Linked DNA regions of Ovis aries. The protein of the gene in region 5 interacts with the protein of the main gene of each other region in a pairwise test. Links are inferred from orthologs where the notes say so. Each region holds a gene or a part of one and is shown on either strand. Other genes may lie near its edges.

Region 1 (4,226 bases), on a different chromosome or scaffold from region 5:
TGTAAGGCAAAGCTAAGCATATTTTAAAACCAGAGTGTGTGGATGGATACAACTTGAAGTTAGCAAGATGGATGGGTATGGTGAGTCAATTCCTGGAAGGTACTGAAAGGGACTAAGTCAAGAGAACTCAAGGAAAGACAAAGATTTTTTTTCCTCAGAAACAAGATGGAAAGGAGTCAAGATGGAAGGAGGCACCCTGGGAAATTCTGCTAGGCTAGAGGGGAGCTTTGGGAGTTGATGACAGGCAAGCCCCATGCTGAGATAATTGGGACCTTGAAAAGAGTGACAAACCTCTGGAAATGCATACACAGAGAGGGCACTTGAGAGACAAGTAGAAGGGAAAACAAGGCATCAAAAGACTGCTTTGGAGCACCGCCAAGGAATTTCTTTATAACACGTAAAAGCTGCAATATGACATGTTGAAGTAGTAACACCGACCACTGCTGTCTATATTATTTTCCATGGGCATGAATCTTTTTAAGTAAGTAGTTACAAGGGAAAAAGAGTAAGCTGCCTGTTTCAAACAGCTTGCACAAATGAACTGAAGTATGAAGACAAATAAACTCTCTTCTGATGTTAACAAGTTATGGGATATCTTTAGGGTTGAAATCAGGTTATACTGAGTATTTTGGATCTGGTGGTTAACTTCATTATCATTACACTTGTCTGAGTCATTCTTGGGCCCTAAGAAGACAGGGCCAGAGTTACCACATGAAAGGAAAACATTATATCAAAATAATGAGATTGGCTACAAAAACCTCCCCAGGAAGAGACTGCCTAGCAAAAGCTAGCGGAGTTGCTAAAATCTGACGCAAGCTCCAAACTATGTGCGAGGAAAAGCATGGACAGAGTCGACAGCCGTACCTGGGGCCGGTACCAAGCAGCCGAGCGTGCCGAGAAAGGCGATCAGCAGGCCCACTCCCGCTAAGAGGAGGGCCGACACCGGAATCTTGCGGCAGAATGACCTGAGGGCGCATCTAGGCGCTCCTTTTTTTGCCAGAGAAGGGCACACCCCAGGATCGGAGAGCATCGCTCTGAGAAAAGTACAAGCTCTTTGATGGAGCCCCAGAAGAGCCTCTCCCACCCCCTACCCACGTTCCCCAAGGGCAGGGCTGGACTGAGCTGCAGAGTTGGCGGGACACCGAGTCTAGTGACCCTGCTGGACCGCGCCCGCGGCCCCGGCGGCCCCGGGTGAGCGGACTGCGCTTGCGCACGCCCCGCGGAATTCGCGGCGGGGCGGGGGTGGGCGCGCGCACGTGCCCCCGTCTCCAGGCAACGGGAATAACAGCTGCCCTCTGAGAGCGCCTGCGCGGCCGGCGGCTGCTGGAGGGCGTGTGGTGAGGAAGCTTGAGTCCTGTGGCTTCCCCTAAGCGGGAGCCGCCTCCAAAAGAGCCTCAGGTACGCGGAAGGGCGGGAAGGCATGGGGTCAGCGCATCGATCTCCCAAGGGCCGACGGACTGAAGAGCCGAGGCCTTGTCTCCGAAGCGGAGTCACAAGTCGGGGACGTCCCGGGTGACCCTCCAGGACAGAACGCAACTTCCGCGTTCCGATCTAAACCCGCGGTGGCCGGATCGAGTGGTCCTTGCGTGAGGGTTTGGCAGCCAGGCACCTGCTGTATGCCCTGAGCCGGCTCTGTGCTCTTTAGGATCAAGCACGGTTCCAGCAGGAGGGAAGCCCCGAGAGTTTTTGTGCCGGTCACTTACCAATGGGCTGCAGTTTTCTCGCCTATAAAATGATGGGGCTGAACTCACAGTCCAACGGCCCCTCAATTCCAGTCCTGTAACTCTGGGCGAATCCCCAGCGAGGGGAAGCTGCTTGTCCTGTGTCACAGGCCTAAAAACTGACTTTCAATCCAATAGCTCTTTCCATCTGCTGTGGAGTGTATTATTGTGTATGAGGAAGCGTCACTGTGTATGGCAGAGGCTGGTAGTGATACAAAGGAAAGGTAGGTGGCAGGAACACCTGTATCACACTCCTTTTTCTATCCTCAGAACCTAATAAGCACCCACAGAACACAGTAAGCATTCACCAAATGCTTATTGAATGAAAGCTCTGGTGGACCCAGCACCAGCGTCCCTAAAAAGTCTAAGGGGAATTGTGGGTAGGCAGATGTAGAAACAGTTATACTTTAACAGTGGAGGTAAACCTCAGACAAACTCCTCACATGTGTCTGGTTTAAATCTCCCCTAGGCTTCAGTCCAGGCTCTGAATGGCTGGTCTCCAGTTGGCGTTGCCTCTGCCTATGGGCGTTATGCTCCCACATAATAAAAGGGATGCTCCAGAGCTCCATTCAGCTAAGCAAGACCCCTATGGAAAAGGTGACTCTTCCCAGCAGTCCTCTACAGGGCACCCGAGGAACAATTTCCAGCAGAAGCTTTTGAGTAACCAAGAACTGATGCTGGATAATCTCTACACTCACCCCAAGTGGAACACCTGCACAAAAGCCCAGAGCTGTTCGTATCCTCACTGTGCTGGAATGAGCCAGCAGGATTCAAGGAACAATCCCCAGGGCCAAGCCAAGGGTTTGTTTTACACATCAGACCCTCAGTCCCGGTATCCCAAAACAAATGACCAAGAATTCATCCCCTTGACAAAGAAGCGAGTGGGGGTTGACCGAGCATACCCTCTGAAACCTGTGTTTCATCGGAAGTCCCATAGTACAGGTGAGGCTGGCACTGATGGAGACCGGAACGCCTCTCCAAGAATCCCTGAGCCCAGAAAGTATTCGTACAGTAGCTTTGGTTCGAGGAACTGGGTGAATTCATCGATGGTTGGTCCAGTTGCTGCCACTCAGGAGGAAAGGGTCATGGCAAATGCCAACAGGACGGAGTGGATGCAAATCCAAAGACTAGAAGCTGCAGGGGAGAGCTTAGGGGAGGAAATCCGCAGAAAAGAGACTCTTCTGAGGGAAAAGCTGAAGAAGACGGAGGAGGAACTCAGAAGGATCCAGAAGGGAAAAGAACAGGCTGAGGAAAATGAAAAAAGAGAGCTTCAGAGAATGGTGCTCTCCCAGAGGAGAGTTAAAGATAATAGCATCACCGCATACAAACCTATCTTCTCTCCAGCACTCAGGTCTGAGGAGGTCTTCAACAGAGACACAGGAGAAGATGAAACTTGGGGACAATCTCGAGAGAATTCTAGTCCATTCCAGTTCTCTAATTATAGAATTCAGAAGCTCAAAAGGGAAAGACTGGTGGCAAGCAATAACAAAATCCGAGACCGAGTCTCAAGGCCATTGAAGCAGAAGTTTTCTCAAGCTACAGAAGCACCGCTGAGCGCTTTGCAGAGATACACCCGCAATTCTAGCTCATCCAGGGCACCAGACTCCTCAGGCTCCAGCTGTTCCACTGAAGAGCCAGAACTGGGCGAGTGCAGCCACTGCGGCCGAAAGTTTCTCTTGCTCAGGCTGGAGAGACACTCCAGCATCTGCCGCAGGATGCAGGGTTCCAAGAGGAAAGTGTTTGACTCCTCTAGGGCCCGGGCCAAGGGCACAGAACTAGAGCAGTACTTGAACTGGAAGGGTCCAGCTTCAGTCAAGGTAACAAGGGCCTTATGGATTTGCCATTGAGTGGGGATCACTTTTAAGAGCCTGTTATGTCCTCATCTGTTTTCTTTAGAAAGATTTCATGTGTCTTACAGGGAGAACGAATTCACATTTGATTTATTGATTACTACTGTGTGCCAGTCACAGTGATGGGAGGTTTTCATATGTTCCTCACTACAGCCCTGTGAAGATTTCATTATCTTATCAGTTCAATAATCAAGTCTCAGGTTAAGCTGCTTAAGATCACAAACAGTTTTAAATGGCAGCATATAAATCTGGGTCAGAATGACTCCAAAATCTAGACTTTAAAAATATGTTGTTTTGATTGTATAAGTAATAAACACTTACAGTAGAAAATTTAAGAGAATGAAATATATATATATCATGAAGCATTTCACTACCCTGACAAAATTCCTCATTCTTTATAATATATTCTACCATCACCCCAAATTAGGACTTGTTACCACTCCTGGAACTCTAATTTTTCCAGTTTGGCTAATTTTGATATACCTTCTTAGTAAATAGATGAAACGCACGATTAAGTTTGGAATTCTTTTTCTCCCCATTTAGAGCGTAAACAACTTAAAGGTGGAGGACTTTATTTTTTTAATAATTTTTATTGGAGTATAGTTGATTTACAATGTTGTGTTAGTTTCAGGTTTACAGCAAAGTGAATCAGTCA
Region 2 (3,387 bases), on a different chromosome or scaffold from region 5:
CAGGGACTACAGAGGGATCATTGGGTTTTTGTTACCTTGTGGACTTCAGCACATCATCAACATGAACTGAAATAGGAGTCAGCAGAAGGGAGACCAACTGACATGGCAGTAATCAGGGAGGTAGGGGTACTGCAAATATGACTGGATTGACAGAGTGGAACCCACCTATTCTTCCTCTTGTGAGCCTGGGTGAAAACTCCCCTTAGCACTGCCCAAGGATCTGATGAGAGCCAGGGTCCTGTTAAATGCTGGGGAGTTGCATAGGAGGCAGGCCAACAGTTTCACACCTCATGTGTTCCATTTGGCAGCCCTCTAAGGCAGACATTATTTATCCCATTTCACAGAAGAGAAGACTGACTCTTTACAGGAATGTATCTGTAATAAAGGGAGGGTTTACTTCCAGTTAAGGCTGGAAGATACTTAAAGTTCACTTTTCTTTAAGTTTGCTGAACCAGTAATTATGTTCATTCACAGACTCATTGAAAAACTGTTGCTTCTAAAATCCCAGATAATAAATGAAAAAAAGTCATGTAGTATCCAACCACAGAGAAATGTGCTCCAATTGCCATCCTGGGATATATGATTTCAGATTTTTGAAGGGTTCATGTATTTTTTCTTTAATCAGACAATAATAAATGTATAGATTGCTTTTTAATTACTTTATTAACTTTACATTTTTCCATGCAAATGGGTGAAACTTTACAGTTGACAGAAACTTAGATTGGATGCCAAGGCAATCTGCAATTAGAAGCTGGTAACACAGAACCCACCTGACACACTGAAATTACATAAGGTTCACAGCAAACGGATCAGTAAAGGCAATATCAGGAAAATGCAAGGAAAAACAGAACAACAGTGGAAATCACAGTATTAATCTCATGGAAATGGCAGGAATCAAGGCATAAGGCAAAATTCGTCATGATGGTCATGGTGATTAGAGAGCTCCCCCATAAGGATACGCAGACAATTCCTCAACTGCAGCTCCCTAAGTTTTCTCCTGATTTCTCTCATCTCCTCCATGAATACTTCCATATCGTCTCCCTCTCCACCCATCCCATCATTGACCTGTCTATTGGGTATAACCCATCGGAAATTAGGGGCAAGTCGGCGAGCCTGTCCCCGTCTATGATTTCTTTCTGGCTGGTGGCCTTCGCCCCCTCCCAAAGGGCGGTCTTCCTCTCCGTTCTGCACGGGTTGCTCCATTTCTTCGTTTTCCTGGTGGATATTAGCCATGATGAGATTTTTTCCCCCGGTTATTTTTCTTTGAACAACAAGTAAGACAAAGGCAAGGAGAGACACTGAATGCTTGGTGCACTGACCAGCAGGATTCAGAGTCCTGATAGTAAAGATTCAAAGAAAAAAAATTTTTCCCCCACCTCAGGTGCTTCGTGCGCTTTCTGGGGAGCCTTCAATTTGACCTCTTTCCCTGCGCTCTCCTTTTCCCTCCCTCCCTCAAACCCAAAGCCCACCATTTTTCTTTTCCCAGGATTCTTTCCCAGAGCGCAGCAGGCCCTAAAATGGAGGACGGGGCATGGGGTCTGGGGAAGTTAGCAAGGGATCTCAGGCTGGGCTGTGCACCAGTCCCCTTTCTCCCCTGCACTATTCCCGGCACTGACCTGGGCCTATCCTCGCTGTCTCTTGCTCCTTCCGATCCTCGCCACGAGTGCGCCGCCGCCACACTTAGTTCGGCAGACCTGCAACGGGCCAGGGTGGGGGCAGGAGGCTGCTGCAGCCGGGCGCTCGGCGCCTTCCCGACCCCGCGTCCCCGACTCCCACCAGCCCCCCTTTCCGCGCCTAGCCGCCCCGAGCCCCCCGCCCCCACCCTCAGGGGCCCCCATCCCCGCCCCGCTCCAGGTGATTCAGGGATGATCTCCCATCGCTCTGAGTTGCTTTCCTGCCTTCCCTGGAACCCTGCCCCCCTGCACCCCCACCCCAGGGGGCCACTATTTCTGTTCCCAGGAAAGCCAGGGTGTGCAGAGGGCTTGCCGGGGCTCGTCGCGCTGAACCCCTGTGCCGGCCTCTGGGGTTGGCTGGCAGCTGCCTCCCTGGCGTCAGCGCGCGGCCCCGGGGCTCTTACCTGCTCCGCTTGCCGCGGGCCCGATGCCAAGCCGCCGTGCGCAGGGGAGCGGGGAGCTGGTACCCAGACAGGAGTGACGACTGCACCGAAGGCTGCGTCGCTCTGCAGCTCGCGATCACGTGAGCATCTCACGTCACCGCCGAGCTCGCCCCCAACTCCGGCGGCCAGTGCAGCAGGAGCGCCCCACTTCCGCCTCGTGCACAGGCGCGGACAACCGCCTGTTTGTGCGCTGGGCCACAGCGCGCACCTCCCCGTCCATCAATCATCTCGCTCTTCTCCAATCTGACTGCCCACGAGTGGCATCACCTCGCTGCGGTTAGAGTTTGCCATTCTCTGGTTATAAGGGAAGGTCTACAACACCCTCTACCCCATCTCCGCCCCTAAGGCCTTGGCCTTGCCTTTTTCTGCTCTCTTTCCTCTTCTCACAGACCAGTCTTTCCCCACCCCGACCCCGCCCCACCATTGCCCACCAAGTGCCCTGAATTCATCTTCTAGGACATTTAGGTTGAAGGTTAGGGTGGGGAGGGAGCAAGAAACTTGTCAGACAGGCGAGAAGGTAGAATGGGTTGTATATATCCTTCCTAGTAATTTCTCTTTATTTCTTTTTTTTTAAAGTCAGCATGCCATCAAAAAATTAAAAATTACAAGGTTTCATTTTTGAAAGAAATGCTTCATCCTGCAGGAAGAAAAAGCCTGTTGATTTGTTTGTTCACCTGTACTACCCAGAAAATATTTTCTTTGGACTCCACCACACAACATTTTGGAAACATTTTATTTTGAAGTCTTTTTTTGAAAAAATACAAGTATCTTCCTAAATACAGTTGTTGTTTTCAAAATGATCTGTAAAGTAAATCTTGAGGTAGAAGTCCAGTTGTCAGACCTTGACCATTTTATGTAAATTTATGTGATGTTTTTGATACCACAGTCTTTGGAGGAAAGGAGCTCTTTTTTTTTAAAAAAAAAAAAAGGGAGCCTATTTATTTTCTGCTTTCCTTTCCAAACTTGGCAAAGCACTCCTACACATACTTCCTTAGAGTGATCTCAGAAATTAAGTACTGGTAAAAGTTAGTTCCAAAGACATGTTTTTTGTAATGTGAATTTTTCCAAAAAATATTAGAAATAGGCATGGGATATGTGAAGCAATTAAACTTGAAACTTATCTTGAGTGTAACCGTTCATTTTTTCAACTTGAAATAATTGAAAACTATTTTTAAAAGTCATGGTTACAAAATAGAGATGCCTTTAGGAAAATGGCATTATTATTTAAAAAATAGTAAGTGTTGGTTGTGTTCAAGGAACCAAAAGAGCTA
Region 3 (4,475 bases), on a different chromosome or scaffold from region 5:
ATTCCAAGCAGAGGAAACAGCCTGGACAGGAGCACAAGGCCACTGGAAGGGCCTATTCCTGACTAGAAGTCGAAAGGACAGAGGATGGAGAGGGAAAGCCGGGTGGAGCCAGAGCAGAGATACCCTGTGGGCCAAGCTAATGTTTGTCTTTTTTTTCTGTAGATGAGAACCAGCAGAGTTATCGTCTCCCTTCCCAGGCCACCTCGCATTCCTGGTCCAAAGGATGCCTCAATTCTGGGAAGGAAACACTGAAAACTCACCCTCATTTTGGCTTAAACACACACACAAAATAAAAATAAGAGGGCACATGCCCTGTCTAAAAAGGGAGGCAATGCTACTGAGGTCTAGCTCTTGGCTGCTAAACCAACTTGGAAACCCCCAGTGTTCCAAAGGCTACCACAGCCTGGCCCTGCACCAGTCCTTCTCTCTCATCTTCCCCAGCCTCCCCTGTTTCCCTTCCCGATACGTTAGAGCAGTTCTGTTCTGAATGGGGTGACTCTGGAAGCAACTTGCCAGGGTAGGTATACCACAGAAAGAGCAAGGGTTAAAAAGAATCAAGTTCCACTATTGCCAGAACTGACTTTCAAGAGGACCAAAAATCCAGATTTATGTATGCAATCTGACTTTTAAAGAACAGTATCTCCTTTAATTCAAAAATTTTAAGTTAAAAAAAAAACACACCCAAAACCCACATCCAACATTGTGTGGGCCAACTAACACATGTCTAGCTGTGTATGGCCCAGGGCCTTCGGTCTCACTGCAGTCCATTCAAGTAAGTCAACTAGCATCTTCCTTTTGAAACACTTTAATCATCCAGAGTTCCCTTGTAATTGGGCTTTTTAAAAAGATCTGTCTTCCTATTTGTCCTATTTACACATATAGTCTAAGTCAGGGGCCCCCAACCTCCGGGATCTAATGCCTGATGATCTGAGGTGGAGCTGATATAATAATAATAGAAATAAAGTGCACAATGAATGTAATGCACTTGAATCATCCCCAAATCATCACCCCCGCCCTGCCTCTGCCCCCTGACCATGGGAAAACTGTCTTCCATGAATCTGGTCCCTGGTGCCTAAAAGGTTGAAGACCGCTTGTCTAAGCATTTAGCACCTACCAGGTGAGTGGTAAAGAATCCACCTGCCAATGCAGGAGACACAGGTTCAATCCCTGGGTTGGGAAGATCCCCTCGAGGAGGAAATGGCAACCCACTCCAGTATTCTTGCCTAGAAAATTCCATGGACAGAGTAGCCTGACGGGCTACAGTCCAGGGGCCGCAAAAGAGTCAGACACAATTGAGCACACACACAAGTAACTAACCAGACAAACTGCTTCAAATAACCAGAGGGCACAAAGAGCTGCTTCAATTCGCACTCCCTTCCCAGAGAGCTTGCATTTATTCACAAACATCTACTGTCCCGAGGATAGAGTAGTGAAGAAAATGCTTCAGTGCTTTCAGTTCCCGACCTCTGGGCAGGAAGTAAACAAATAATCACAAATTATGATAAAAGTATGAGGAAAAGCACACGGTGCTACATGAAGCTGTAGCAGAAGGATAAAATTCATGTGGACACAAAATTACCCCCCAAAACTGCAAACAAAAGTCTTCTGAAAAAGTGACATGCTGAGAACTAAAGGCTGTCCAGAAGTTTGTCAAGTGAAGGGAGGAGGAGGTATTTCTAGGCAGAAGGAAAAGCACCTGTGAAGATGCTGAGGCTATGAGAAATGGAACCTGTAACAAGAGCCAAGAGGCTAGTGTGGCTGAAAGGCTGAGCAAGGGATAAAGAGAAACGGGATGAGGTGAGATGGGAAGGCTAGGTAGTGCTGGATGGCGGAGGGCTCTGAAAGCTGCAGTAACGAGCCTGGATTTTCTCATAAGCGTTTAACGGACAGCCTGTGGATTCTCAGCAGAGTGGCATAGTCTATCTGACTACCTGCCCTTTAGAGAGATCACCAAGACCCAGGATAGAGAATGGGTTGGAGGAAGAAAGAGGAGGGAGCTACAACTATCTTGCTCATTGCTGTTACCCTAGCATCTAACATGATACCTACACAGAAACTGGCACTCAGCAAATGTATGTGGTATGAATGACTGTGAAAACAGAGCAGGCTATTTCAGTAACCAAGGCTTGGAGCTGAAGAAGTGTTCCGATTTGAGATGTTTTGTAAGTCCAGTTGATAGGACTTAGCAAAGGATGACTGAGGCAGGGGTTTGGGGAGGAGTGAAAAAGAGTCAGGCAAGATTCCCGCGTACCTGGCCTGAGCCAGCTGCACGGCTGGAAGGGATAGTTGAATGAGAAGGGTCAGACCGGAGAAGAAGCGGAGAGGGTTCAAAGCCGACTACCGGATTCTCTCCCAACTCCCACCACACGCGCATCTGAGGAACACCGGACACAAGAGCCGGACTGAGCTCCAGTAAGAGAGGGTGACGCGTTCTCCTCCAAACCCACCCCGGGGGTCTCCCCGGAACCACGCTGGGCGCTCCGAACAGGCTCCACCCGTGGGGTGTGGGGAAAATTAGGAAGACCTGGGTGTGGAGCTCGCGTCTTCACTACGTAAACTCCTTGAACTTAATCTGAGCCGCGGTTTCCTCCTAAGATAGTTGGGAGCAGCAGCGCGTAAAGCTCCAGGCCCTAGCCGGGGGTAAAACCGCTCCCAGAGCCTGGCGGAATTACCACGTTTCTTTCGCCCCGCGATTGCTTTTCCTCGGGGCACGGGCCTGTTAGGCTAATCTCACCCCGGGCTTGCCCCAAGCCCGCCAACCCGGGGTCACGGCCTACCTGTTCACCCAGCAGCGACAGCGCTGGCGACCCAGGCTAACGTCGGAAGTCAGCGCCTCTCTCCAGTCGGCTGCCGCCGACACCCTGCCCAGCAGCCTCAGCTGCTGCCACGGCGACAGAACCTGTTTACGTCAACGTCACTTCCCGACCCCGAAGCACTTAGACCCATCAAGCCCGCAGGGCCTGCTGGGAAACAGAGGCCTGAGAGGAAGGATAACTGCCTACGAGACCCAGAGCCTTTGCGCCGGAAAGGCTGCCGGAAGTAGCTATGCTCTCAGCGCAAAATACTCTCAGGGGCCCCTCCCTCCGCCCTGATTGGATGCTGGGCCTGCCCTGCCTTCTCGTCTCAGGCTCCCGCCGGCTTGGGGCGGAGTCCTTGGGTGGAGGATGCGAGTTTCGGCCCGGGATTGCTGGAGCTCGAGCGGCCACAGTTCGGGGGCGGCACGGTGTCGACTTGCAATCCAGCTGAGAGGAGAGGCGCCACCGGGGAGGGTGAGAGCCTAGCCGGCCCATGTCCTAGGGGAAGGGATGGTTGGGTCCTGGGCTGAGCAAAGAGAGCCCCACGCGGTCTTGGGGAAAAGGCGTGGGACGGCGAAAGAGGGGTGGGGGTGGAGAGCTCAAATCCTCCCCTGGGGATGGGTGTCAGAACCGGTCTCTGTTTCTCAATAGTGAGGAGGGGTATGAATTGGGAAAGACTCTACACTGGCATGGAGAGGTTGGGTCTGGATAAATTTGCCCACACCTTTTGGATGTAGCAATAGAATTACACTTTGGATTTTCTGCTAGATCCGCCCTCTCTGACCAAGATCGGCTCCTCCCCTCGCCATCCCTGGTGTGACGAATTTCTGGGACCTTCTTTCCTTAGGACCCCACCGTCTAACACCGCCGTGATTGTTTGCCCTTTATTCCGCTTAGGTTCCCATTCGCTTTGCCTAGTGTGACACAGATAGGCCCCTAGCATCCCCAAATACCCACACACAAAGTCCGGAAGGAAGAGCTCTGAGGCTTTCAGTGGAAACTTCATTTTCACTGGAATTACCTTCTGGGGCGTCACCTGCCACAGGATTCCTGGAACCTATTGGCCTGGGCGGAATCTGAGCAACTGGAATCTCAGCTGACGTCATCCAGGGGCTCAAAGCAATTGCTTTGTTGGAAAAGAATAGATTAGTTTGGATTTGTCTTCCTTTGTTGGCAGCCGCCTAACCTTTGGTGAGCTCCTTTTCTTTGATCGTGGGGAAATTGGGGCTAGACACAAAATGCATAGAGAACTTGTTAAAACCTGTTAAGGGGTGGATTTATTCCTTCCGGGTGGGCAGTTTGGTAAAGTTATCTCATACCATTCAAGCTTAACTTACTGATTGGGCAGTCTGCTGGGGCGGGGCGCTCATCTCATCCATACTGGACAAACCACCAAAGGAGTTCAGTACTTCATACAGCACCTGTCCTGGCCTTTCCTTGGACATTCTTCCCAGGATGAACGGTCAGTCACTCAGTCATGTCCAACTTTGCAACCGCAGGGGCTGTAGCCCCCCAGACTCCTCTGTCCATGGGATTTCCCGGGGCAAGAACACTGGAGCAGGTTGCCATTTCCTTCTCCAGGGGATGATCCTGATCCAGGGATCGAACCTGCATTTCCTGTGTTTGCAGAAGGAAATGGCAACCCACTCCAGTACTCTTGCCTTGAAAATCCCATGGACA
Region 4 (3,675 bases), on a different chromosome or scaffold from region 5:
GACCTTATGCAAGCAAGCTTTTGTTTCCTTAGTTAAAAAATTTCTAGCATGGAGCAATAATGACAACTAACATTTATTAAGTGTTTATTATGTATCAGATACTGTGCTAAGTATTTTTTCAACGCTTCTCATTTAGTATTCAAAGCAACCCCATGAGGTAGGCATTGTTACAAGGCCTGCCATAAAAACTTGAGATTTATAAAGAACCCAACCCAAACTACACTTCTGTAAAGAGGCAAAGCTGGGGACTTTCCTGGTGGTCCAGTGGCTACAGCTCTTTGTTCCCAATGCAGGGAGCCCAGGGTCGGTTCCGGTCAGGAAACTAGATCCCATATGCCACAACCAAGACCTGGTGCAGTCAAACAAATACATAAAAATACTGGGACTTCTCTGGTGGTCCAGTGGTTAAGAATCTGCCTTCCAACTGCAGGGGACACGGGTTGGACGCCCTGCTGGGGAACTAAGATCCCACATGCCGCGGGGCAACTAAGCCTACGCACCGCAACAAAGATCCCAAGTGATGCAACCAAGACCCGACGCAGTCAATAAATAAAGAAAGTGCTGTTTTGGTTTGTTTAAAAAAAGAAGAGGCAGAGCTGGCATTCAAAGCCAGATTCTCATTAAGGTGTCCCCAGTTCTCAAGAGGGTTCCACACCATGGCAAACATCAGGTCCCATGCCAAATCTTTGACTCCAGAGCTCTTTTCATTCTCATGCCTTGTGCACTTAGGTAAATCACTGAAACATCTGAGAATCTGGTTTCTTAATGATGTAAACAGTGTCTCTATCTTATTACTTTTACAGAGTCACGTGAGTATAAAATGAGCTCATGTCTGTCAGAACTCTCTGCTTTGCTACTTTGAAACATTATGACTAGGATTATCATTGGCAGGTAGCGGGAGTAGTGTGAAAATGCTGGTATTGGGCATCACAACACGGGTTTGATTTCTAGAGCACTCACATTCTGTGCTAGTGATCATGTTCAAATCACTCAACATCTCAGAGTCTTGTTTTCTGGTCTGTAAAACAGGAATAATCCTATCTACTTCAGGGCACCCCTATGAGGATAAGACGAAATGCTATAAAAATTCTAAAGCAATGGCCAAATATCTACAAAAACTCTTTGGAAGTCCCCGTGTTTCTAAAGGTAACATGGTCAAGTTTTTGAATATTAATCATACCTTCTTCTTTTTCAAAGGTAATAAGTGCTTGTCCTTTTTGCAGCTCATAAGGGACTTTTGAGCTCACTTGACATGAATAGGAGATATCTGAAAACTCACTGTCACTCTCAGGATTCTCCACAGATGTGAACTTTATCTTTGTTTCAGGAATATCCTCATTAATCTAATTCAAACAGAAAGGTTTGATTAAAATCAACACAAGAAGTAACTTAAGTCCTTCCAATGATAATGTGATCTCATCATCCAATAATTCATTCTCCACTGACTTCAGAACCCCACAGAACGCTGATTTAATATCACTAGTAATTGCTTCTTCCCAGAAAAATACTCAGTAATCTAGTCAAATGCTGATCCTTTAATATTATTTCACAGATGAAATTGTAAGTATATAGTCTCTAACTTTTTCTAATCAATCAGTGTTTAAACTGGTCAATACTGTGTGTTGTTTGGTTCTTAAGCCTACATCATTCCTACAGAAAAGTATCTTCTAAACAACTATGCCAATAATAGGCTGTTTCACAAAGGAATCACTGCACAGTATCTTTGGTCTCATTGCAAAGAGGTATGAAATAGACGTGGGTGCATACTGCAGCTATTTTGACAGCAAACTCAGGTAATGTCATCCAAAGAGAAACTCCTAAATTCAGTTCAGTGCCTTAAAATTTATCAAATTTAAATTCCCCCTTCCTCAACACCTGTCCATCAACTTTTAACCATTCCCACAACTTAGGTTTATAAAAATGTAAAGGGACACCAATAGCAAGATTTGTTAAAAAAAAAAAAAATCTGGACGATAAAGTTAAGTGGTTATACTTTGGTGCTGAAAATCACTAGGATGAACAGGTCTCTGTTGTTTAGCCTCTAAGTGATGTCTGACTCTTTCTGTAACCCCTTGGACTATAGCCTGTCAGACTCCTCTGCCCATGGGATTTCCCAAGCAAGAATACTGGAGAAGGTTGCATTTCCTTCTCCAGGGGATCTTCCCGAGCCAGGGACCAAATCCATGTCTCCTGTACTGGTAGGCAGATTCTTTACTACTGAGCTGCCAGGGAAGCCCCGAACAGACAGTACAGTCACACAGAAATGCACAAATGAGTCAGGTGTTTTCATCTCTATTTCTCACGGTTATTTTACATGTTGCAAGAAAAAGTGTTATCATGAAGAGATTAGAAACAGCCAATGAGTCATTTGGTCTAATCTGACATTTATTCTACAATTTGACATGTCACTTTGGTAGAATTTCTGATTACCATAAGTCTGATTTCAAAACAATCTGCAGTGTGAAAAGACAGTGTTTCCCAATAACAGAGAAACATCCAGTATACACAGAAGGGTCAAGAGCTTTCCCCAGTGAGAGTGGGAATGCCTGCTTCTAGTCCTGAGTACACCATGGCAGGGAGCAATGCACTCATGGTCCCTAGAGCCCAGTTTTCAGTCCTCTGTGAAGTGGATCAATTGAGCTGGCTGGATTCCCAAGGCCCATTTGGGTTGTAGAATTAAGTGATTCTAGCTCCGGTCTAAAAATTATGCAGGATCTTAACAGAGACTTCTCTAAAGCTCACAAACACAAAAAAACCTCACTTTTGATATTTAACACTCTACCCCCAACTTCAGAAATAAAAAGTGATAATGCTTTAAAGTAAGTGTTTTAACAATCTGGATTTTGATGAAGAAAAAAGGAGTGAGAGCTGTCTAATTCAAACAAAGGAAAAATTAAGAAAGAATTTAAATGGTGAAGATACTCTTCCAATTTTTTTTTTAAACTGTGACACACACTTAAATTATTACTTGGATGAGGAGAGCAATGAAAAAATTTAGCGAGAAGACCAAGACTTTGATCCAAAAGTGATTGATAATGACCATCACTGGGAGGCTGTGTGTGTTGTATTAATGTATAATGAATATTAAAACATGCATTAGCATAAATGTGTGAGTGAGTGAGTGAATATATAAAGTCGCTCAGTCATGTCTGACTCTTCGCGACCCTATGGGCTGTAGCCCACCAGACTCCTCCGTCCGTGGGATTCTCCAGGCAAGAATACTGGAATAGGTTGCCATTTCCTTCTCCAGAGGATCTTGCAGACCCAGGGACTGAACTCAGGTCTCCCGCACTGCGGACAGACTCTTTACCATCTGAGCCACCAGGGCATCCCACAATAATTTATAGCAAGATGAAATGTTATGGAGGGATCATGCACCTGTGACCAGCACCCAGATCAATCATCAGAACAAGACCAACGACTCAGAAGCCCTCTGGGGTTCCCTTCCAGTTTCTACCTGCCTCTAACAGTAAGCACCATACTAACTTCTAACACTGTGCTTTTGTGCTCTACTTAAGTCAAAGTATATGGTACGCCCTCTTTTTCCTCTTTTGGCTCAACATTGTGTCTATGAAATTCATCCATATTATTGTATATAGTTACTGCCTGTTCATTTTCATTGCTGTGCAGTATTCCATTATGTGAATACACCCCAATTTATAAATTCATTCTACT
Region 5 (4,362 bases):
GCTGCAGGGGATCTGGCTGGGTGTTGGAAGAGTCAGCCAGCAGTTCCTGTTTCCATAATTACAGCACGGCTATCTCCCTGGCAGGCAACACAACACATCTGCAGTGCTGGGCAACGGGGACTGCTGCATTCTGGGACCTGCAGTCTCTAGAGGCCACTGGGGCACCTGGGACCTGTAGTCAGCTGCAGTGCATGCTAGGACTTGTAGTCCCAAGTGTCTATCCCCTTGGACCAAGCTTGTCCAAGGAATTCCCCGTTCCTCCCGCAGCTGTTCCCAACTAGGAAGTATCTCGGCCACACGTGGGCGTGTGCGAGCACATTCTCTTTCTCTGCCTTCCTTTTCTCTGGGTCTCACTCAATCTCTCTTCTCTCACACACTCACACACACATACACACAACCCCCACACAGACATTCTCTCGGTCTCTTGCTCTCAAGTGTGGAAAGGGACCTCAGGGATCTCATTAACTATCTTTTGTTCTGTGCACTCCTCCACTCCTCAGCCCCCAGCCCTGACCTGGAGCAGGGGTCTCCCCATAGCAGCCTGGCTCCATGCTTTTCCCCAGCATTGTCCCCATTCCTCTCCCCAGCAACTCCCATACTCACCTTCCCCTCCCAGTCCACTCAGATGGCTGCCCGCACTGGAGCCGGAGAGGTTGGGGCGGGCCGGCTGGGGCTGGGGCCGGGGCCGCGGGGTGGTGGGTGCGGAGCCCAGCGCCGGGGCAGGGCCCTCTGCACAGTCATCGCCCCCGTACCCCTGGCAGCACCTCCATTCCATATCTGTCACCGTTTTGTAGGCCACGCGGTAGCGAGGGCGGAGGAAGCTGCGGTACCTGGGAGAGGCAGAGGGAGGCCCCCTTACTCCTCCTGCACCATCAGTGATGCTGGCCCCTGTCCTCAGAGATGGGCCGCTGTTCGTGGGCTAGGTCTGTCCCTCAGGCTGGGTCCCCCTTACTGGCCAGCATGTGGCCTTGCTCAGTTGACAGTTGTCAGCCAGTTGGCCGAAGGCCAATCCCTGTTCTTCCTCCCCTTGTTCTGTGCTGGAGCTTTGAACTCCTCTCCTTGAATGTGGCCAGGCCCAGAAGACACATTCCCAAGGCTGGCAGGGTGGTCCAAGTGAGTGTGCCCTCAGTATCACACCAGCCAAAGAGTTGCCTCAGCATCTCCTCAAATGGCTCTCAGCGAAGCCCCTGGTCCTGCCCCTGGCTACCTGCTTTGTACAAATCCCCCAGGTTGGCAGCCCTGGCCCCGCCCCCACCAAGTACCCATCCTCACATGATGCTGCGGGAACACTGGGGCTGGCCCCAGCCACAGGGCTGGTAGTCGGGCTTGACGAAAGTCTCCACTCCATCCTCAAGGACACAGCTGACTGTCCGGGTCACCACATAGGCACACCAGTTCCTGCAGGCACAATCCCACCTGGGTCTGAGGGCCAGAGACACACATTCCGTGGGGAGGCCTAGGGGCTACCAGAGGGGCTGAGGGAGGGTCACAAGATGAAGGGCCTCTGGGGACCAGGGGGAGCTAGGGCTTTGGCAGGGACAGCTCCTCACCCCACCCCACCCCCCACGCCTTCCCGTGTAGTAGGAGGCAATAAAGACTTTTCAAGATGGGAACAGGAGGCCCAGAAAGTAAAACCACAACTACGGGATGTTGATCCTCATGGCTGGGCTGCCTGGGGAGCATCTGAATTCACGCATTCATTCATGTCCCTTTCTGTCTCAACCCCCAGCTTGGCGTGGCCTGTGTGAGCTGGCTGGCCAGGTTCCCTGGTGAACCCCTGGCTTCTCCTCACCCTTCAGGGGAGTGGTCAGAGCAGGCAGGGGTCCAGCTCAGGGTTAAGGAGAGAATAAGCCATTGATGAGCCCTGCCCGCCCTGGGGCTTTCAGTTCTACACTCTTGGCCCCCCACTCCCCCACCCCCGACCGGCCTCCACTCCGTGTCCGCTGGAGAAAGGAAAGGAGCAGAGAAGTGATGTGGGAAGCGTGGGTTTCTGCATGGGGCTGAGGGGGCCCTAGCATGGGATGAAAGGTCTGCCGAGACTCCCAGGCTGGTGTGGGCTGGCAGTGACAGGAAGGCCTGGCCCGTGGCCCTCAGGATAGCTTCCCTGGGCACCTAACGTGGAAGTGATTACTCCTGAGGTTAGATGGGGTAGGGGGGTGCCTATCTACTCCAGGGGGCCCTGAAGGAAGGCGGGCATGTGAAGAGCCACCTGGTGGCTGGGTTTCCTCTTACCCCGTCCTTTGCCCCAGTGGACAGCTCAGAAGAACGTACCCGGGGCAGGGGCCAGGACACCCACCCTCCCACCTACCTCCAGCCTTGGGCTAAGACCCAGACTCCTACCTGTGGCGGCTGGCAGGTCGGGGGGCACTCTGGGCCTGGGTGCCCCCAGAGCTGAGGGCCCCGCCACTCCCAGTGTAGAGGCTGTAGCCGCGAGGCGGGTAGCTGGCTGCCCCCACGGCGGTGGTCAGCAGGCAGCAGAGGTAGCAGCTCCAGAGGGTTCCGGGGGCCATGGTGGGGGCGCTCTGCGGCGGCCCTCAGAGGCACATCCTGGCCTGACCACTGGCGCCTCTGCCTGGAGCGAGGGTTGGGGGGATGCCGCTGCTCTGAGGGACAGCAGGTCCTGTCCCCAGCTTCCTGCTGGCAGCCCCCAGCCACACACCTCCTCCTTGGCTGCCTGGCCTGACCCCTCTCCCCCTCCTCTTTCCTCCTCAGGCTCCTGTCTGTCCCTCCTTCGATTCCTTCCGCTCTCCTCTTCTCCACTTCTGAGGGGAGTTTGTTCTCTGTGCCCCCCCTACACACAGCCCAGCCTCCTGCGCCTGGTCCCTGGCCCTCTCAGATGCTGCCTCCTGGGCCTCCACCCCCTCGCTCCATCTGGCCCTCCTCTGGTCTCCGCTGTCGGTTTTCCCCAGTGACCAGATCCTGGGGGTGACAGGGCTTTGCCCCTGTGGCTGCTCAGAGGCGCAAGAGTGGCTGTGGGGCGGGCCCTGGCCTCCCGCCTCTCTCTCCCTCACTCCCCTCCCTTCCCCCCCTGTCTGGCTGGCGGTCCAGCCTCCCCCTTCCTCCCCCCACCTCTCCAACCATCGTGCGCCACATCTGCTTCTTGTTAACTCCGGGAAAGAGAGAGAGAAAAAAAAAGGAAAAACAGAGAAATGTGGAGTTGCCGCCGGGCTTGGGGCCAGCCTCTCAGACAGGCCACATGGAGCGGAGCCGGGGCCAGAGCTGGGGAGGAGGCTCAGGGCTGGTCACTTAGACAGGGAACGGGAGCTGGAACCACAGCTCTCCTGGGGCCAGGGCAGGACCCCCGCCTCCCCCCTCCCGGGAGAGGAGCCCTAGGAGAGGTGGAGAGGAGAGCCGTAAAAGGGAGAATGAACTTGCAGGGGCTCAGCAGAACTGCCACTCACCATCTAGTCCAGCTGCCTCCTTTTATAGATGTGACAACTGAGGCCCAGAGTGGGAAAGTAACTTGTCCAAGGTAACACCGCAAATCAAGAGCATAGCTCAGATTAGAATCTAAATAGTACCCAGGTCAGTAGCTTGGGAGGAAAGAGGAGGAGAGGAGCAAAAGCTACTGGACCAGGGAGCAAAATGAGGACTCCACTGAGGCTGGCAGGAAATTCAGAGAAGCCAGAGGAAGAAAGGAGTCCGGCAATGGAGAGCAACTTCTGTCAAGCATGGAGAGGACATGGGCAGGAGGAGAAAGACTTCATTCTCCAAAGGCCAAGTGATCATGGGCGTCAGGCTTGTCTTGGTGAAAGCCATGAGTGGGGGAGGGGAGGCAGGGAGATGAGTTGGGCCCTATCTGTTTAGCCTAAAGGAAGTCACTCCCTACTCCAGAGCCAAGTCTGATAGCCTCTGAGGCAGGCAAGGAAGTTGACTCAACCACCAGCCTGTCTGGTAGGCTCCTCGTGAGATGTCCGAATCTGTCAGCTGGCCCCCCTCACCATCTGGCCCTCAGCATTGGGTTCTGTCCAGGTCTCCCTGCGTGGTGGGCCACTTGGGAGACAGAGGCAGAAGTACTAAACTGAAATCAGGCGAGAGTGCGGGGTGTGGGTGCTGACGAGGTGCCCAGGGAGCAAAGGCCCACGAAGGACTCAGTAAGGAGCAGCTGGTCCTGTTGGTGGACAGGACACAAGAGAGAATGAACACAGGCCAGACGGACAGAAGGCCAGGGGGCCAGACAGATGGATGCTGTGCTCCGGTTAAGAGGAGGAGAAAGACAGCTGACTGCTGCGGGGAGTCAGAGAAGAGCTGTTGGAAGAAAGAGAACCTGATCCGTGTTGGAGGGAAAAGTGAACCAGAGACAAGGGGAGGGGAGAGACTTCAGGTTGGCAAAAGCGCTCTGTCTCAGTTTCCTCATCTGTA
Region 6 (4,411 bases), on a different chromosome or scaffold from region 5:
TCTTCCTGATCCAGGAGACTTCAGTCTCCTGCATTGGCAGGCAGGTTCTTTACCACTAGTGCCACCTGGGAAGATGTCTCAACATAGCTCGAGCATCTTCTTTCACCCAAAGCAAAAAAGCAGAATCCCAATGGAAGACAGTCCACAGGGACCTGGAGTGACGGTGGATTCCTGTAGGCCCCGAGGCATGGATGAGAATGGCTAAATAGCAAAACAGAAAAGGACCTCAGCTGAAGTCTTAACTTAAAAAAAAAAAAATTCTCTACAAATAACACAGAACAGTCTATTTCACTCAACACATAAAAGACTTTATAGAGCAATATGAAAAATCCTAATACCACAATTGAAAAGGTCAAGACAATTCACAAGAATTAGACATGACCAATATTCTTTAAAAATATATATATATATCCAACCTTGGCAGTAATCAAAGAAGTGAAAATTAAAGCAATAAATCATCTTAAAGTATTCTCACAAAAAAAGTCTACTTGGAATTATACGATGCTTCTAGATCTAATTACCAGTTTATAGACAATACAGGGAAAAGAAGAACATTTAAATGACATACAGAAGATGCACTCAGCTAAAATTTAAATGTGAAAAGCCATAGGGCCAGCAACGTAGTTTCTTTACCAAATACATTTTAAGAAAAAAGAAAAGAACCTTCTAAAGAAACTTAAAACTTACTACAAGAAACTTAATGGACATATCAACCAAAACCCAAATGTATCCACCTTATTTGAATCAAACAGACCAAATATAAAACATGACACAATTAGGGACATGAATACTGACTAGACATTTGATGATATTAAGGAGTTATTGTTCATTTTTAGGGGTGACAGTGGTATTTTAGTTACTAAAAGATTATTGATGCTTTAATAATATATAAGGTAGTACTTATAGATGAAAATATTTAGTGCCTGGAGTTTCCTGTAATCTGAGGGAGGGGAGAGAAGGTGGATTAGACGAATTAAGATGTCAGGAATCCATGGAGGTTCCTTACACCATTCTGTGTGTATAGCCAAAAGATTTGATAATCAACAGTTAAAAAAAAAATGGTATAATTGTCTGAAGTCTGAAAGGTTATGTAAAACAATGTTTGAACACAATGTGAAATTACATAAATACATTTATACTTTCTTCTTTCTATTTTTCTTAATCTGAAGCAATGAGCATGACCAGGAAGAAAATAATGTTTAAAATGGCTTTAAGACAAAACGTATGTACCACTCATAGCTAAGGGGCCACAGAAGGTCAGCCACTGTGGGCAGTGGCCAGCTCCTCCCTCTGGGGGAGCACAGACTTGGCTTTGTCCCCTCAGCTCCTGGAGGTGGGACTCTGCAAAGAGGGGGCAGGCAGTGGGCCAGGGAAGTAGGGGGTGGGTGGATGGCACTGTGGGCCGGACTCTATGCTGGGTGGTCTCAGCCACTCCTCACTCAGCCTGTGAGGAAGGGGTTGTTGGCCCTCCTTTGCCAGCCTCAGTGGAGAAGCTGGCTCAGGGAGGTCAGCGGAGCTGTCTGAGGGCGCGAGGGAAGGAGCCAGTGTGTGTCGACAGGTGTTCTGCGCTGGGCACTTCCCTTTGCTCCAGTTCTCTGGGTGGCTACCATTCTCCCCAACTTACAGAAGAGGAAATAGCTTCAGAGAGGTGACATGACTCACCCAAGGCCACTCAGCCGGGGGCTGGCCAGGAGCAGGACTGGCCTCAGCCCTTTCCCTGGTGCTCCCGGTTCCCTGCCAGGGGAGCTTCCACCCTAACACGGGGCACTTCCACCAGCTCCAGGTGGATGGGGGAGCAGCCTGACACAGGGCAAGGGTGTGGCTGAGGGGGCGGGAGAGCTGCATGCCTGGGCAGACTGGGCCTTCCCCTCACCTGTACAGCTGTGAGCATCAGCCGTCTCTGGTTGAGGTTGGCAAGAGAGCTTGGGTAAATGTCAACTGTAAAGTTCTACACAGAGTGCAGAGTCTTGGGGTGGTGGAAGGAACACCTATGCGTATGGGACAGTTGGTCCTGCAGCCTTCCTGTCCGAGCCTCACCTGCAAGGGGACAGCTCTAAGGCTGCTGTCAGGGGAGCTAGAGGGGATAAAGCACGGCAAGGAACCCAGCCGGGAGCACCCAGAGGGCCTCTCTTTCCTGCGGCCTCCTCCCCACCCACCCAAGGCTGCTCAGGCCCTCTGGGAAAGCTCTCTGAAAGGCTGACAACTGGCCTCCTCTCCTCTACTGCAGGACCTCCTCAGACTACCAGGCAGGTGAAGCCGAGACCTCCAGGGGCCGCCTGCCTGGCCCCTACCAGCTGGGCCGGACCAGACCGGGGTCATCTGCCTGTTGGAGCTCAGCATCCCAGTGAATTCCCCAGGAAAGGAGGCCTGGGTGCTTCGCAGGCCCGCCCCACCCCGCAGACCTCACGGTTCACCTCCGGACCCTGGCCCCCTCCTCCCTCTCCTCCCCACCCGGGGCACTGGGTTTCTCCACCCTCTCTCCTTTTTCTGTTTCTTTCGGATCTCCCTCTCTTGCCATTTTAGTTCCTCTGTTTCTTTCCCACTAAACTCCTTTTGCTGTCCTCATTCATAGTTCACACCCATCTGTTTACCTCCGAAATCTTTCTGTCCCAGCCCCTCCCTTTCCCTCTTATTCGTTCCGTTTTCCATGTTCCTCTGCCTCTCTCTCTCTGCCTTTTTCTGTTTCGTCTTTCCTTTCTCTCTCCCCATCGCTCTCTCTCCCTCCCTTTATCTCCCTCTTTCTCCATCTCTCTCTCTCTCCGTCTGGCTCCGTCCCCATCTCCCTCCCTCTCTTCTGCTCCTTCCTCGCGGTCCGCGGACTCCCTAGCCCTCGCCCCGCTCCCGGGCCCCACTCACCGGCGAAGGCGCCCGGGGCGCGGAGCAGGGCGAGCCCGGCCAGTGCGCAGAGCAGGGGCCGCATGCTGCCGGCCGGCGGAGCGCAGCGCCGCTTCTGCCTGCGGCCGCGCTCCCCGCCCTCCCCGGGATCGCGCCGGCCCGCCTGGGAGGAAATGCTCGCAGTTTCAGCCAAGATTCCTGGGCGGCTCCGGGCTTTCTGGCTCCAGCGAGCCCGCCCCCTCCAGAGACCCCGCGAGCGGAGGGGCGATGTGCCAGGCTGGGCGTCTCCCCAGGAAGGGGCCGCGCTCTGAGCCCCCCGCGCCTCCCCCTGGGCCCGAGCACAGAACAGAGGATGATGGAACCGGGGGCCCAGTGATCCGTTATGAGCCCATTTCACAGACCAGCAAGTTGCAGTTTCCAGAAGGGCCACCCACGCCTGTGGCACAGGATCTGAATCCCTAACTTCACGGAGTAATCAGCTCTGATGACATCAGATAGTGCCGCTCTGAGAGGGAGGCTCAGAAACGGAGGGTCTGTCTTCCACAGAAATTTTGTCCTTCTAAAGGAGTAACAGTATTGTTAAACGATACTTTCCAAAGGAATATAGTGGGTTTGTTATTGATCCGGGTTCTTAAATAGAAATTGATGGGGACTTCCCTGGTGGTCTGGTGGTTAAGAATCCACCTTGCAATGAAGGAACCTGAGTTTGATCCCTGTTCAGGGAACTAAGATCCCACACGCTGAGGAGCAACCAAGTCTGTATGCCACAGCTGCTGAGCCCTAACGCCACAAGTCGAGAGTCCCTTTGCCCCAATGGAAGATCCCACATGACGGCAACCAAATAAATTTAAAAAAAGAAATTGATAAAATGCCACATCAGGCAGGGCCTTATTGGATCTCTTACTTAAGCACGCCAAATAATAGGTATGGGTGCCCTTGCTTGCTCCCTGGGGGAGGGGGTGAGCTGGTCCCTAAATGGCTCCAGGGTTGGGGTGGATGTGCCTGGGCTGGAGGGGTATGTTTAGGAGGTCTGCCCACTCTCTTGGTGTGGTGAATAGTACCTTGCTTTTGTTTCTGAACCCTCAGAAGTGGCAGTTGGGTTTTTGGTCTTTTTGTATCTTCTTGTTTCTAGTTTGTACAACCATGCAGCTACTTTTAGTCCCCTATAGTTTCTTTGTATTTCGTTGCTGGAGAAAACAGTTTGTCCAGGAGCAAGCACTGCAGCAAAGGGTCCCAAGTCCCAGCCTGTCTCAGGTTGAGGTGTACTAACATAGAATGATCTCTAAAATTTGATGAGATGAGCATGAAAATAAAAGCATGAAAGTAAAAATCCCCAAATATAGGCTTCGCTGATGGCTCAGCTGGTAAAGAATTTGCGTGTAATGTGGGAGACCTGGATTCAATCCCTGGGGTGGGAAGATCTCCTGGAGAAGGGAACATCTACCCACTCCAGTATTCTGGCCTATACAGTCCACGGGATTGCAAAAAGTTGTACAGGACTGAGTGACTTTCACTTTCCATATATTATTCAGTTCCATGCAGTTCCATGTATACACATTTTGTCTGAATTTATATT
Region 7 (4,371 bases), on a different chromosome or scaffold from region 5:
CAAAGAGTCAGACATGACTGGGCAACTGAACAAGGCTGATATTAAAGAAACATATCTGTAATGATTATAATAGGTTTGTGCTTCTAAATAAGAGATCCAGAGATAATATAAGATTTATGTCTTTAAATTGTACCTCAAATATTTATTGTTTCCATTCCCTTTATAATCTGATTGGTAAGTTCTTTGATTCTTTTCTTTTCTTTTTTTTTGACACATGTATAATTATTTTGGGAAAATAAAAAAACAGCTAATCAAGAAAATAAAAAGACACATTCAGATCTATCTATATATATATGTATATAAAATGCATGCTTTAAAATGAGATAGTATATCTACTAACTGCTTTTTGAAGTGCTTTATTAGCTTTACAATATGTAATAGACATCTTTTCATGCAAGTTCATTAAATCTCCCCTGCTATTCTGCAAGTTGACAGAAATTCTTTTAAAGTCAAAAGTGAAAATGAAATCACTAATCTGAAAAATGACAGAACACAAAAGGTTCACAGTAAAGGGTACATCAAGAAAATGCAAGTTTGTGAAGCAGGGGGTTTATGATTATTAACCTCAGCATTCAAGGCATAAGGCAAAATTCATCATGATGGTCATGGTGAGGAGGATCTCCAATAAGAATGCGCAGACTGTACCTCAGCTGAAGCTCTCTAATTTTCCTCCTTAGCTCTCTCATCTCCTCCATGAACCTCTCCATATCATCAGCATCCCCATCTATAATGTCAATGTTATTGACAAGCCCATTAGGCATATCCTCTCTAAAATCCTGGGCAGGTGGGTCCCAATCCCCTCTAACATTTTCTCTAGGCTTGGCGCCTTCACCACCTCCCATAGGACAAGCTTCTTCATTCTGCACCAGAGCCTGCTCCTCTTCTCTCCTTTCCTTGGGGTCCTTTTCCATCTTGAGATATTTTTCCCCGCTTCTTCTTCCTAGGAGATGAAATGAATGCTTTGTAATAACAAGATTCAGAGCTCTGTGCGCAAATGTTTCACCACCTGAGAGACTTCAGTGTGCCCTCTAAGGGGGCGCCCCAGATCCAAAGAAAAGAAAGTGAAGTCGCTCAGTCGTGTCAGACTCTTTGATACCCCACGGATTGTAGCCTACCAGGCTCCTCCATCCATGGTATTTTCCAGGCAAGAGTACTGGAGTGGGCTGCCATTTCATTCTCCAGCCCCAGATCCAGCCCTGCCCCAAAGCCCATCATTTTCCCTGAAAATCTTTCCCCCCTCCACTCCTGGCTCCCAGTGGCTGGTGGGAAGGACCATGGTGGAAAGACCAGGCCTTAGCCTCCAGAGCTCCTTACAAGTTGTCCAGGGGGCACCCAGAGCTTGCCCTTCTACTCCCTTCTTCCGTCACCAGCCACAGACCCAGTCTCGGCCAGGTTTCTCCTGCACTTAGTCCGGCAAGGAGGGCTGGAATTCCCCCCATTCTGCCCTGTGCACCCCTACAATAGAGTCCCGGGCACCTCCCATACCTGCAGGGATCAGAAGCAGTCTTCCTCTCTCAGCCTTGAAATCTGCTGCACCAACGGACCTAAAGACCTATAGAGAGAAATGCGACAACAGCCAGCACTGATCACTCTGATTAAAGGACCAGCGTCGGGGGTGGGGCGCCAGCTGTCTAGTGGGTTTAGGACTCCGCTAGAAATGTGTTGTTGCCTTCCCTTTCTCCTCTATCCCTTCTCACGGCTTTTATTCACTCCCTGTGACCCTGTCTTCCAGAAACAGACATTCTAATCAAAGCTGATTATTTCCAAACCTCTTCTTTAGGCCCCTCATCTCCACTGTCTGGTCCTTCCCCGCCATCTAATTACCATTTCTTGAAAGCAAAGGGACAACTTGTGAGGCGGGGGTAGTCCTAAGAGCTTGCTGGGTGGCTACATGGTTCATTTATAAATAATTTCAATGTAGCTATCTGCCAGGACCTTTCGGGGACTTTCTGGAGCTCCCCCTTCTTCCACTGCCCACCATTTTATGCATCAAGATGGACGAAGGGCAAAGAGGGAACGTGGGCATAGCAAACCTGTCCCCGCTGCGGCGTCAGCGCTTTGTCAGGCTTACCCTAGCGTCCGCAGGCAGTGCCCACACTCACACCGACCTGAAGCGACCAGAAGCGGTTTCCTGCTCCCGGCCTATGTTCAGAAGTCCGTAGCACACGCAGTCGATTGCCTCTTCCATAGAAGGGACGTGCTTCCCACACCTAACCCCTGTCTCTATCCTCTGCAGCAGCCGCCCAGTCCCCTCCCCTACTCCTTCGAGTTCCCACAGCCACCATTTCCGGCTCCAAAATGGAAGGAAGGTGAAGAAATACCGGGAACGGAGGCTTAGACCCGCTGCAGAGTCTGCCACCCCCAACCCAGGGTCGCCGGTTGCGCACCCCTCCCGGCGCGCTGCAGCAATCAGGTCGTTTCCTCGCAGTCTCCTTTCCCGGTCCTTCTCTTCCAGACATTGCCCAATCGCCCAGCTCTTAGGAGATACTATCTCGTACCCATTCTTCAACCCTTGGCGCCTCTTGAATTCCTCCCACCAAGTCCTCCATTTCTTGCACCAAACAAACGTGAGGTCATCGGAGAAGCAGTAGAGAGAATCCAGTCCTGGCCTCGCTCTGGTCTTTACCCTCAGGCCCCCGCTCCCCTCCCCAGTCAGCGCCCTCCAACCTGCCGAGGATCGCGGTCAGCTTCCACGGCTTCCTCCTTTCTGGGTACAGTTCGCCCACCTTAAGGCAACAGCGAGCCGGCGCACAGCCGCAAAGGGCTACGGACTGCAACGGGAGAGACCAGTTCAAGCGCGGGCTCTAGGTCTGCGTCACTGTGAGCTCACATCCCCATTTAAGGTTCCTACCTGCGGAGCTAGAGCGAGCTGGGGGCGGGAGCGGGGGCGTGGCCACCTTTCGCCTCAGTCCTACTTTCTCCCCAACTATACCGCTGGGCACTGCACATCCACTATTTATTGTTTGTTTATCTATCTATTCATTTTCCTATTTATCATCTTTGACACCAAACCGGTCATAATATTTGGTCGTTTGTATTTGCGTTTTTCCTGATTTCTGCTGGAGCTTTTAAAGAATTGCTTCTTCCTCTGTACTATGAAATGTTCACTTCTCTCCCTTCCACTCTGAAGCAAGTAAAGCCTAGAATTTCCCCCATCAGTCTTGTTGGTTTTGTCCCAGGCTGGAACCGGACAGGGTGTGTTGGGGGAGTGGGGTGCGAGTCTAGAAAGTCTGGAAAATAGGTAGGAGGTAACATTAAAAAAAAAAAACAACAACAAAATGATTTCACCCTAATTATTTTCCTTTCTGTTTATTTTTTGAAGGGGTGGGTGATTGTTTTTGTTCTATTTCCCATCAGCATACATTCATGTTTTGGTTGTTGTAATTAGACAATAGTTATTTTTATTTGAAAACTAAGATTAAAGTTGTAAAACCTTGCCATTCTGTTTCTGCTGTTGAATCATCCTACAAATATAGTCTCTCTAGATAGCACCCTCAGTTCAGTTCAGTCACTCAGTCGTGTCCGACTCCTTGCGACCCATTGAATCGCAGCACGCCAGGCCTCCCTGTCTATCACCAACTCCCGGAGTTCACTCAAACTCATTTATTAAATGTTGCAATCATATAAAACTAAATTAAAAGAATATAGCATATATCCATGCTTTATAATATATATAGCTTGAAAATATATATAATAAATACATTTATATATATAAACACATACATAGTTATTTTATGTACTTTAAATGTGAGTATATATACATACGTATTTACGTATAGATATGTTTACATACACAAACAGCCTACTTTTCTTACACACCTACTTTTCCTAGAAATCAGTTTTTTCAGATTCAATTATGTTGATATATATAGATGTAGGTCCTTTATTTCTACAGCAGTATAGTATTCCATTGTATAATTGTATTGTAATTCATTTTTTGTTTTCCTATTGATGCTTATTTAGATTTCTAATATAGGTACATTTTAAGTGAACATCTTTGTGTGTGGCTACACTGTACTTAATTCATTTGAACAGCAAAAATTTTTTTTTGTTGTATTTATTTATCTTAGTTTTTAGGGTTGTTGTTATTTAGCCTGATCTGCCAGGATTTTCCAAATCTGCCCCATTTTGGATGACATCCTAGATATGAAAATAACACCCAGATACACAGGTTAATCCTCTTGAAGTTGTAATTTAGTAGGTCTGGGTTGGGATATGAGTATGTATTTTAAGAAGTATCCCAGATAATTTATAAAATCAGATAAGTTTGGGAAACACTTTGATGGGTTTTTTAAAATCATCAGATTTTTTGCTGATTTATTTTCTTTAATTCTTAGTGTAACTCAGCTTCTATTTTAAATATCTTTATTA

What was found.
Region 1: the proteins of EMILIN1 (region 5) and ZC2HC1C interact in binary tests that used the Homo sapiens proteins (3 or more experiments, as listed by UniProt). The two-hybrid records come from large-scale screens. The link is inferred for Ovis aries from reciprocal best matches to the Homo sapiens genes EMILIN1 and ZC2HC1C.
Region 2: the proteins of EMILIN1 (region 5) and BEX3 interact in binary tests that used the Homo sapiens proteins (3 or more experiments, as listed by UniProt). The two-hybrid records come from large-scale screens. The link is inferred for Ovis aries from reciprocal best matches to the Homo sapiens genes EMILIN1 and BEX3.
Region 3: the proteins of EMILIN1 (region 5) and IFT20 interact in binary tests that used the Homo sapiens proteins (3 or more experiments, as listed by UniProt). The two-hybrid records come from large-scale screens. The link is inferred for Ovis aries from reciprocal best matches to the Homo sapiens genes EMILIN1 and IFT20.
Region 4: the proteins of EMILIN1 (region 5) and NMI interact in binary tests that used the Homo sapiens proteins (3 or more experiments, as listed by UniProt). The two-hybrid records come from large-scale screens. The link is inferred for Ovis aries from reciprocal best matches to the Homo sapiens genes EMILIN1 and NMI.
Region 6: the proteins of EMILIN1 (region 5) and PLAC9 interact in binary tests that used the Homo sapiens proteins (3 or more experiments, as listed by UniProt). The two-hybrid records come from large-scale screens. The link is inferred for Ovis aries from reciprocal best matches to the Homo sapiens genes EMILIN1 and PLAC9.
Region 7: the proteins of EMILIN1 (region 5) and BEX5 interact in binary tests that used the Homo sapiens proteins (3 or more experiments, as listed by UniProt). The two-hybrid records come from large-scale screens. The link is inferred for Ovis aries from reciprocal best matches to the Homo sapiens genes EMILIN1 and BEX5.

Annotation. Positions count from the first base shown.
Region 1 is NC_056060.1:84,396,599-84,400,824, forward strand, and holds the start of ZC2HC1C (zinc finger C2HC domain-containing protein 1C), read left to right. Parts: upstream 1-1,297; 5' UTR 1,298-1,945; intron 1,946-2,190; 5' UTR 2,191-2,209; coding exon 2,210-3,538; intron 3,539-4,226. Other genes in the region: ACYP1 (acylphosphatase-1), read right to left, coding at 865-1,030.
Region 2 is NC_056080.1:128,929,564-128,932,950, forward strand, and holds BEX3 (protein BEX3), read right to left. Parts: upstream 2,153-3,387; 5' UTR 2,078-2,152; intron 1,695-2,077; 5' UTR 1,617-1,694; intron 1,262-1,616; 5' UTR 1,234-1,261; coding exon 895-1,233; 3' UTR 645-894; downstream 1-644. UniProt on the Homo sapiens protein: May be a signaling adapter molecule involved in NGFR/p75NTR-mediated apoptosis induced by NGF. Plays a role in zinc-triggered neuronal death.
Region 3 is NC_056064.1:19,762,862-19,767,336, forward strand, and holds the start of IFT20 (intraflagellar transport protein 20 homolog), read right to left. Parts: upstream 2,864-4,475; 5' UTR 2,778-2,863; intron 1-2,777. UniProt on the Homo sapiens protein: Part of intraflagellar transport (IFT) particles involved in ciliary process assembly. May play a role in the trafficking of ciliary membrane proteins from the Golgi complex to the cilium.
Region 4 is NC_056055.1:158,230,298-158,233,972, reverse strand, and holds part of NMI (N-myc-interactor), read right to left. Parts: intron 1,344-3,675; coding exon 1,181-1,343; intron 1-1,180. UniProt on the Homo sapiens protein: Acts as a signaling pathway regulator involved in innate immune system response.
Region 5 is NC_056056.1:34,159,978-34,164,339, reverse strand, and holds the start of EMILIN1 (EMILIN-1), read right to left. Parts: upstream 2,975-4,362; 5' UTR 2,511-2,974; coding exon 2,341-2,510; intron 1,423-2,340; coding exon 1,273-1,422; intron 831-1,272; coding exon 604-830; intron 1-603. UniProt on the Homo sapiens protein: Involved in elastic and collagen fibers formation. It is required for EFEMP2 deposition into the extracellular matrix, and collagen network assembly and cross-linking via protein-lysine 6-oxidase/LOX activity.
Region 6 is NC_056078.1:34,359,745-34,364,155, forward strand, and holds the start of PLAC9 (placenta-specific protein 9), read right to left. Parts: upstream 2,953-4,411; 5' UTR 2,921-2,952; coding exon 2,857-2,920; intron 1-2,856.
Region 7 is NC_056080.1:133,706,968-133,711,338, forward strand, and holds BEX5 (protein BEX5), read right to left. Parts: upstream 2,815-4,371; 5' UTR 2,550-2,814; coding exon 2,499-2,549; intron 2,235-2,498; exon of another isoform or gene 2,072-2,234; intron 1,553-2,071; coding exon 1,486-1,552; intron 941-1,485; coding exon 573-940; 3' UTR 341-572; downstream 1-340.